Linked DNA regions of Nothobranchius furzeri. The protein of the gene in region 1 purifies or fractionates together with the protein of each later gene. This does not show direct contact. Links are inferred from orthologs where the notes say so. Each region holds a gene or a part of one and is shown on either strand. Other genes may lie near its edges. The genes, in order: heterogeneous nuclear ribonucleoprotein D0 and ncl.

Region 1 (4,254 bases):
GTAAATTTTCCAGTGCAGATTGGAGACAACCCATAGTAGCACTGATTTGATCTCATTTCAGAGAACAATAGAACAGGTCAGTTGCACCTAATAAATAAAATTACTAACAAACTCAGGAATCTTTCTTTGCTTCACTGTTCTGGTGTAGTGATGGGAAATACGGCTCTTTTTAGAGAGCCGGTTCTTTTGGCTCCCAAGTGGCTCCTCAGATTTTCTGTTGCGTAGAATACATGTATAACCAAAATAATACTAAACTATATGTAAAATAATTTACTAATGTAAAAAAGCAATATATCAAATATTTATAATTTCTATTGATTTAATAACTGAACACTTTAAGAAATCTCCACTTCCCTACTGCTGGCGCTCATTTTCTCCTCTCTCTCGCTCGCCTTTTTCCTCCTCCTCATTCCCTCTCGTCTCCCTCCACCCGCATGTGCTCTGCTGTGTGTCTGTCTGAGTCTGATCCTCCCTCTTCCCCGCCCCTACTGCTCTGTGTGTGGACAGTCTGGACACACAGTTACACATGTTGACCAATCGCCTGTAGCTTTCACCAAGGCAGGGGGGGAGGGGGGAGGGACGGCTCCCAATGACGAGCCGGCTCCCGTCGTTCACTTCAAAGAGCCGGCTCTTAGAGCCGGTTCGTTCGCGACCGACACATCACTATTCTGGTGCTGAGGATATCACTAATGCGGATCAAAGGAGATACACAGATGAACGCACCTCTTATTTATTATTTGGAAACTACATTTACTGCAGCTGGCAGAGGCAGAGATTGTTTCTATTGATACATGAATTTACAGAATCGTTTTAAATGTTAAAAGGGGAAGACTGCAGGAGGGAGCGGTAAAATACAGGGGGTCCCCAGCTAAAACAAGAAACTTTACGAGTCTGATGAAACCCGCTGGTTTTCCATCAGGCAGTCACGGGGCAGCTCCAACGACCCAGTGGCTGTGCTGGGTCAGTTACCGAGCCCAGTCCGGTACCGGCTCGGCCGTGAAGAGCCGAGGCAACGTCATGCTCTGCTTAAGAAGAAGCGTTATTTTCCCGCTTCAGAAGAAGCGTCCAACGTGTTTTTACGCTTTCTCCGAGACATGTCACATTGCTAAGTTGTTAGCGCGCTAACACGTCAATAGTGCAGCGTAGCCTGCTGGAGGTTTTAAGGGTTCAGATGAAAACACCCGACCTCTCAGGCTGCTCACACATCGATCTTAAGTTGTCGCTGTTGCGCTCACGCCGTAATACAGTATTAGATGCGGTTAAAGTCAGACATGAAAAAATAAATAAATTTTACATGAATAAGTGATGCTTAGCCTGGTGGAGGGAGGAAAATCTTGCCTAATAAGCACTGGAGGAAACCCTGTCAAGATCGTTAACACTTGTTTATCTTACTGCTATTGAAACATGTAAACCAAAATGCATTATATCCATTGCTACCTTTCTAATTTTAAACTCAGTAACTTATGCTGTAACGTCACCTTGCTCTGCCTGCTCCTTTCTTCTTGCTGCCCGCCGGCTGTGATCACAAGCGACAACATAGTAGTTCCCGCTGCTTCTTCGGGAAACAGCGCATGGCGGGCCGCCACGGCTACGCCTATGTAAGGGAAACCCTGTATTTTAAAACATTTTCTAAATGCTTTTTTATATTTTTACATTTTTTTTTGTTTTTGTGAAGAGCCTCGTGATTTTTATCTTGAGAGGCACTATAGAAATGATATTTTCTTCTTCTTCTATTCTCTTACAGTACCAGTTGATCACTTTTTTTGAAGAATTTATTTGAGATTTTCTGGTTTTTATTAATTGTGCAATAGACAAATAATAATTAGATTAATCGCCATTAGAAAAGTCAACTATTCGATAAAATAATCGTCAGAATAATCATTTTAAAACTAATCGTTTACCCCCAGCCCTAACACCAAAGTAACTTGAGGTCTTAAGGGGAGACTGTGCAGTGTCTCTCCTTAAGCCCTCCTCCAAATAACCATGTTATTAGGGCAAGAATCTGACAATATGACAAATATCACAATAAAGGGGAGATGATACGATATAATGCAATACTAAAAGCCACATGATTAGCTATTTTAAAGACTGAATTTAATTTTAAATCACTCCAGACGCTTTCAAGACACATCCAGCGTTTTCTCGAGATCTTGTCGTTCCATCAGAATGAAGGCAGTAAAACTGCTGCTACCTAGCAGTCAGAGTTTGAATTGCATCAAACAAAATAATTACAGTAAATGTTAACATTTAAATTGTGAATTACAAACATCGAGAAATATTGATTCAGTGACATGAAATATCACAGCATTGATTTTCTTGCATTCCAACTGATTATGGTTATATCTAAACGGAGTGAGACAGCAGAGTCAACAACATGCTAAAGAAATGTGTCCCGTTATTCTCACTTTGACTACTCAACATAAACATCTTTATAATTGTGTAAATGTATTAAGTCTTACCGATTTCCTTGCTGAATTTGTCTCTATATGTACTTATGCAGATGTAGCATCCATGTTGTATATCCTTCATATAAGTCCAAAAGCTTTGACTGAGAGTGAAATAATAAATGACCGCGTTATGAAGCTGGAACAGTAACATACCCTTCGTCCTCCTCGTTTTTACTGGCGTCAATCCTCGACCCTTCGGCCTCGCCTCCCATCGTCAGGCCACAGTCCCCACTAGCGGACATCGGGTCGTCGTTGTTAGCATCTCCATCCTCCTCCATTCTCATCAGGCTCGAGCCTTCGCTGAATTCATAATCCTTCGACATATTTTGGTTTTTTCAGGCACCTAATTTTTAACTAAAGCGGCACCGGGAATTTTTGAGAAAATACAAATTCACAAAAAAATAGAAGTTGCGCTACAGATAGCTAGTGGCTAGCTAATATTTATTATCAAATACCATCAGATAAAAAAACGAAGCAAACGCAAACCGTGTAGCTTCTTCACGGAAACATCTAAGGTTTTGATTAACAGAAATTTAAAGCGTTTAAACTGATAATTAACTATCTTCCAAATGTTATTTTAATAATAAGAGCGTCGTTTTGTGTCGTTTTTTATCACCGTCACCGGATTCTTCTTCTCTGTTTTAAAAACGGATGAATTAGGAAACCAAACCGGGAACAGCGTCACCCAAACGTGCCGGTGTTACGTCGAAATGTGTGACCCCGTTGAAAACTGTTTCTCCCACTGGCTTTGCCCTGCCCCCTTGTGTTCGGTTCAGATGTAAAGAGATTCACACAGCTTTATCGCACATCCGACTCGCCTCATCAAAAAGTACATAATTTAAGTTATATATTTTCTTCACCTAACATTTTTGTCTTCGCAGTCGCACAAATATATTTGCCGAGGAACACCTATGACGACCATGCTGATGCTGACAGCAGCGAACAGTTTCAGACGGGGTAACCTATACAACATCTAAGTGTAAACATTAAACACGGTTAAAATAAACGTTCTTTGAACGGCAGATTATAATTTCAAGTGAACGTAAAGAGAAAATTAAAAATTGAATGGAAAATATACGGTGTGTGTGTTTTACGTAGAATATTTATCTAGTCAGCTAACACCCTCAAAGAAATAGCACACACGTAACAATGAATTCTAATTATTTTCTGACATGCAAAACAAAATATTATTAATTGTAAACTGTTCAAAATATGTTTTTAAATGATGAGTCCTTGCTATTAAAATACTCAGTATCGTCACCTAGTGAGTTGGAGGTGAATTGTCAGACCGGAACATGTGAGTTAGTTGTTGCATTGTGTGTTCGCTAAAGTAATGGCTTGAATAATCACGTAGCAGAGATCAACTAAAGCCATTTCCTGCTCATTTATAATCTCGGTTTTGCGGTATTCGACCTGGACACGCACGTGGGAACAGAGCCTCGCTGTAACACCACACTATTTAAGCTAAGCTATCGTTAGCTAAGATAAGAACCTCCACCATCCTTGTGTTTTATTCTAGTTACAGAAATGGCCACTGTTTCTATTCCTGCTCGCACTACAACAATCTTGTTGGACATCGAGGGAACCACTACACCAATTACATTCGTTAAGGTGAGTTACATTTGTTTTTATTGTATTAGGTGGGTCCAACCGTAATGCTAAGTAAAGAGCTAACAGTTGCATACGGCTAAAAACTGCCTGTTTCTAACAACTGAAAACTAATACACTCCGGGCTTTGTCACTTTTCCAGGATATTTTGTTTCCTTACATCAGGGAGCATCTGGAGGATCACCTGTCCACTCACTGG
Region 2 (4,608 bases), on another chromosome or scaffold:
GGCGTGACCTTTGACCCAGCTCTCACCCTGGATTCTCATGTCAGTTCTCTTGTTCGCTCTTCCTTCTTCCATCCCAGGAACATTGCTAAGCTGAGTCCCATTCTGTCCCGCTCTGAACTTGAGACAGTTATCCACACCTTCATCTCCTCACGCTTAGACTACTGTAACTCTCTTTTCACGTGTCTGAGCAGAACCTGAACCGTCTACAGGTGGTTCAGAAAGCCTGTGCTCGGCTTCTGACCAAGTCCTCCAAACACACTCACATCACCCCACTTCTCCTCCAGCTTCACAGGCTGCCAGTCAACTTCAGGGTTCATTTCAAGATCCTGGTTCTGGTCTATAGGGCCTTACATGGACAAGCACCATCATACATTGGTGATCTTCTCCATCCCTACACCCCCAGCGGGTCCCTGAGGTCCAGTGACCAAAGCCTACTGGTTGTGCAACGCACCAGGCTAAACACCAAAGGTGACAGATAATTTGCTGCTGTGGCCCCCAGACTCTGGAACTCTCTCCCCCTGAGCCTAAGATTGGTGGACTCAGTGGTCTCCTTTAAAATACAGCTGAAATCTCACCTGTTCAAGCTAGCTTTTGCGTGACCTTCATCACCTCCCTCCCCTTATTCTGCTCTTATTCCACCTTTCCCAGGATCCATTAATGTCCCTCTTCCCTATTAAATGTTCTCTCTCCCTTTCCTTACATTTTTTTCTTTTCTCCTTTTAAACATATTTTTAATCATTTTTGAAATCTTTTTATACTTTAATTGTTTTTTTGTTTTTGTGAAGCACCTCGTGATTTTTATCTTGAGAGGCAGATAAAATATCATCAGATAGAATCAGATATAAAAATATCATTTTCAGCATGTGTTCAGTATTGTGCAATACTGGACGTACATTATCTGTGTCTCTTATGCTGCATATTTTTGGAAACCCAGTTGTCTATTTGTATTCATTGTTTTGAGGGTTGAATGTTACAAGAACAGGTTACTGCCTATGTGTTTACCTGTACTTTTGTTGTTTTCTTCTTCCTTGTCTAAAAGTGTATGTGCTGCAGTAACAAGGTTATTTCCCCAAAATGGGATTAATAGTCTATTCTAAATAGGGTGGGACCTCAGCTTCTCCAGATGTTTAGCACAGGTTGGAGGAGTCAGTGGCATACACAATGCCTCTGCCCTTTTAGTATTTGCTGTAAAATCCCAGTGTCAGTGTCCCAAACTCTTCAAGAGATTTGAAAAAAAAGTGAGAGGGCGATATCCTCTTTACTGGTACAATTGAAAAACTGTGGTAACGTTTGATCAAAATATATTTTATTAAAGGCAAATTATTGTTGGCGGTTGAAACGTTCGACGTGGCCCTAAAAACTGATTGAATATACCCTGGGTTATGCTAGAACCACGTGGTAGACGCGGTCGATGGTTTACGGCAGCTGACCAAAAGAAAACAGCTGCACGGAGTTGCATAAAGACGCATTGTCTTTGTGTCAACATTTAGAAAATTGCACTTTTTTGGCACTATCCGAAGACAAATCTTGGAAGTTAAACACACAGATAATCTCGGAAATGGTATTTTTAGATGAAATTTGCTCAGGTGTAGAGAAAAAAACAGTCTGTAAACGGCTCGTAGGCGAGGCGCGTGCACGAGGCAAATATGTCAATTTCCGATTGGTTGAAATGGTCATGTGGGCGGGCAGACGTCACAGCGCGGAGCTGGAGAGAAACCACTTCTGCGACCCGTCTGTCTTTCTAGTCCAATGTCCCACTGAGTAGACAGATCCACGTGCATGCAGCAGACATTTTGGTACTTGTCATCAAACCTTTAGATATTAGTGTTTCATTGAAACACACACATCAGAAGCAACCATGGTGAAGCTAGCAAAGGTAAGACGAATCTATATCACATCAAAATGTCCGCGCTGAGCCGTGCTTGAATTTTTTTTTTTTGGCGCACGAGGCCTTTGGCTTAAGGTGCTGCGTTTTTGGAAAAATAAAACCAGTCAAAGTTAGGAATGTGCGCGCATATGTTGCAGTGACAGCGCATTTTCACAACATTTTTAACAATCTAATCCTTCAAAAGTAGTTTTTCCCCCTAATATGTAAAGCATGCTGTATTTGGTCGACGTCTCTGGTTCTGGTTTTCCAGGCCTAGCTCGGCCTGCTAACGCTAGGCGAGTTTTCGTCGTGTTATTTGTCCGTTTCTCTTTTTAAGCGTTTGGGTTTTATTGTGATTAAAAAATTGAGCTTTTTTATTAAACTAAAGTGGGAAAGTAGAGTTTTGACGTTACTGGTAATACATTTGTAATAATGTAACATACGTTTAATCCTATTCCGTTTTAGCATTAGCACGTTGCACATTTTAAGTACGTGGTCCGCATCTTCTTTACACGTTTTTGAGTCGAATTCAAGGGTTTTGTTTTTCGTTATCTGTTGGAATCTTCGTGTCGAACGTTTGTTACCCAAAGCGGTTTGATTTTTGTTGTAGTTTTAGTCGTCTGTGGTGAAATGTAGCCCAGATGCTAGCCTTATGTTAGCTTCACGAGCTCCACGTGGGTGGGCGCACGCTATGAGTGACACACGCGGTGTTCAACCAAAACCGAGAAAGTAGTTTACTGTAAAGGCGGACGGATGTCACGATTGGTTAGTCAGTCTGCATTATTTGCGGTATTTATTTTTGTTTAACTTGGATGAACTTGAATTGATATACTTAAGCTTAACGGTTGAGCTGTAGATTCGTTTTGACTGTTGTGTAGTCTTTCTAGTTTTTATGGATTAACACTGGCTTTTTTTTTTCAGGCAGCAAGTCAACAAATTAAAAAGAAAAAAGCCCCCCCACCCCCCAAAAAAGTGGAAGAGGAATCTAGTGAAGAAGAAAGCAGTGAGGAGGAAGAGGTATAACACTTGCTTAGTTACTGATATCAGTTTGTTGAATTCAAATAACTGAACTTTCTTTCTTTTTAAAATCCAGACCCCTCCACCTAAAGTAGCAAAAAAAGCAGCAGGTAAAGCTTCCCCAGCAGTCAAAAATGGTACCCCTGCCAAAAAACAAGAAAGTTCTGATGAAGAGGATGATTCTGGTGAGCTGCACTAATAAAATTTAGGTTTTTCAGGTCCTATTGATGTCATAATAAAATAATTTTCAAGGGATATCCCCGTCAAACTCACACAATGTACTCTTATTTAGCCTACACATAACGAGCTGCTTAAGAAAGTTTATTTTAAATTATAAACCTAAATGCATAATTTATTAGTTGCATAATTGATTTTTTTCTAAAAGTTAAATTTTATTTGATTTGTGAAATTATCTCGTGGTCACCCACAGAGGAATCTGAGGAAGAGGCACCACCACCTAAAAAGACACCTGCAAAAGCAGCATCTGCAAAGACAGCTGCTAAAGCCACAGCAGTGAAAGCAGCGCCTGCCAAGGCTGAGCAGTCTGATGATGATGACGACGACGAAGATGACGATGATGGTATGTGGTGGTTTAGACTTTTTTTTTTTTTTTTGTTAACTTTGACTAAGTGAATAGTGAAGTGGCCCCACACCCTCCATTTCTTGGCATGCATGCAGTTGATTGGTACTCATGTGTGTAATGTACGGAGGAAAAGTAAAGGCAGCGCTATGTCTTCGGTGCCGGTGTGTTTTAATGTCTGCCGGTTCTATCCTCAAACGCTGTTACATTGCTTCATGTTTTGTTTTCTGCTCTATATGAATCTTACCTAGAAGTGAGGGTGAAAAATAACCCAATTTCAATGTTTCTTGTTCAGATGAATCTGAAGAGGAGGCCCCACCTCCCAAGAAAGCAGCAAAACCAGCAGCCAAGCCTCCTGCCAAAGCCCCAGCAAAGGCCAAACCTGCTCCAAAGGAGTCTTCTGATGATGATGACGACGATGATGAAGATGATTCAGAGGAGGAGGAGGCAGCTCCACCCCCAAAGAAGGCTACTCCAGCCAAAGCAGCTGCCGCTAAACCTGCGGCCAAAGCAGCTGCTAAATCTGCAGCTAAAGCACAGCCTGCTAAAGAGGAGTCTGACGATGAGGAGGACGATGAAGATGGTAAGCCTGATTCTCTATTGTTTTTAATTATTGACAAAGAAACTTTACGCTGGACCAGCTTTAACTGTGTGATGAAGAAAAAGGGACTTAATACTGATTGTGGTTGATGTCACTTTTTACATATCTGATGTTGGTCAAAGCTGCAATAGCAAATCTGCAAAACGGGCCAGCTTTTAAAAAGTCGCCGAACTCTCTTTCCCCGTCAGCTATCATAATTTTTAACTTCACAAACTATTTTTGTCTTCCTTTAAGAGGCACGAAAGTGTTTTAGACTAGTTAGTTTTGCAGATTTGCCATTGTAGATTTAAAAGGATCATGTGATCTAAAACATGGGGACAGGAAATGATGTCCAGATCTGATGTTTGTACTCCAGACTCTGAAGAAGAGGAGATGGACACCACTCCAGCTCCAGCAGCCACCAAGGCAAAGAAAGCAGGCATGGTCAAAGCCAAGGAGGAGTCAGAGGAGGAGGAAGATGATGATGATGATGATGACGACGAAGATGATGATGAGGAGGAGGATGAAGGTTAGTTTTGTGAAACTTTTCTTGTGTCTTAATAT

What was found.
Region 2: the proteins of heterogeneous nuclear ribonucleoprotein D0 (region 1) and ncl purify together in Homo sapiens (affinity purification with western blotting; 3 studies listed by BioGRID, with this or other methods). This does not show direct contact. The link is inferred for Nothobranchius furzeri from reciprocal best matches to the Homo sapiens genes HNRNPD and NCL.

Annotation. Positions count from the first base shown.
Region 1 is NC_091746.1:62,892,476-62,896,729, forward strand, and holds the start of heterogeneous nuclear ribonucleoprotein D0, read right to left. Parts: upstream 2,992-4,254; 5' UTR 2,771-2,991; coding exon 2,601-2,770; intron 1-2,600. Other genes in the region: enoph1 (enolase-phosphatase E1), read left to right, coding at 3,660-3,744, 3,967-4,058, 4,198-4,254. UniProt on the Homo sapiens protein: Binds with high affinity to RNA molecules that contain AU-rich elements (AREs) found within the 3'-UTR of many proto-oncogenes and cytokine mRNAs.
Region 2 is NC_091748.1:62,945,056-62,949,663, reverse strand, and holds the start of ncl (nucleolin), read left to right. Parts: upstream 1-1,688; 5' UTR 1,689-1,858; coding exon 1,859-1,876; intron 1,877-2,788; coding exon 2,789-2,884; intron 2,885-2,960; coding exon 2,961-3,069; intron 3,070-3,314; coding exon 3,315-3,464; intron 3,465-3,537; exon of another isoform or gene 3,538-3,675; intron 3,676-3,759; coding exon 3,760-4,047; intron 4,048-4,420; coding exon 4,421-4,573; intron 4,574-4,608. UniProt on the Homo sapiens protein: Nucleolin is the major nucleolar protein of growing eukaryotic cells. It is found associated with intranucleolar chromatin and pre-ribosomal particles. It induces chromatin decondensation by binding to histone H1.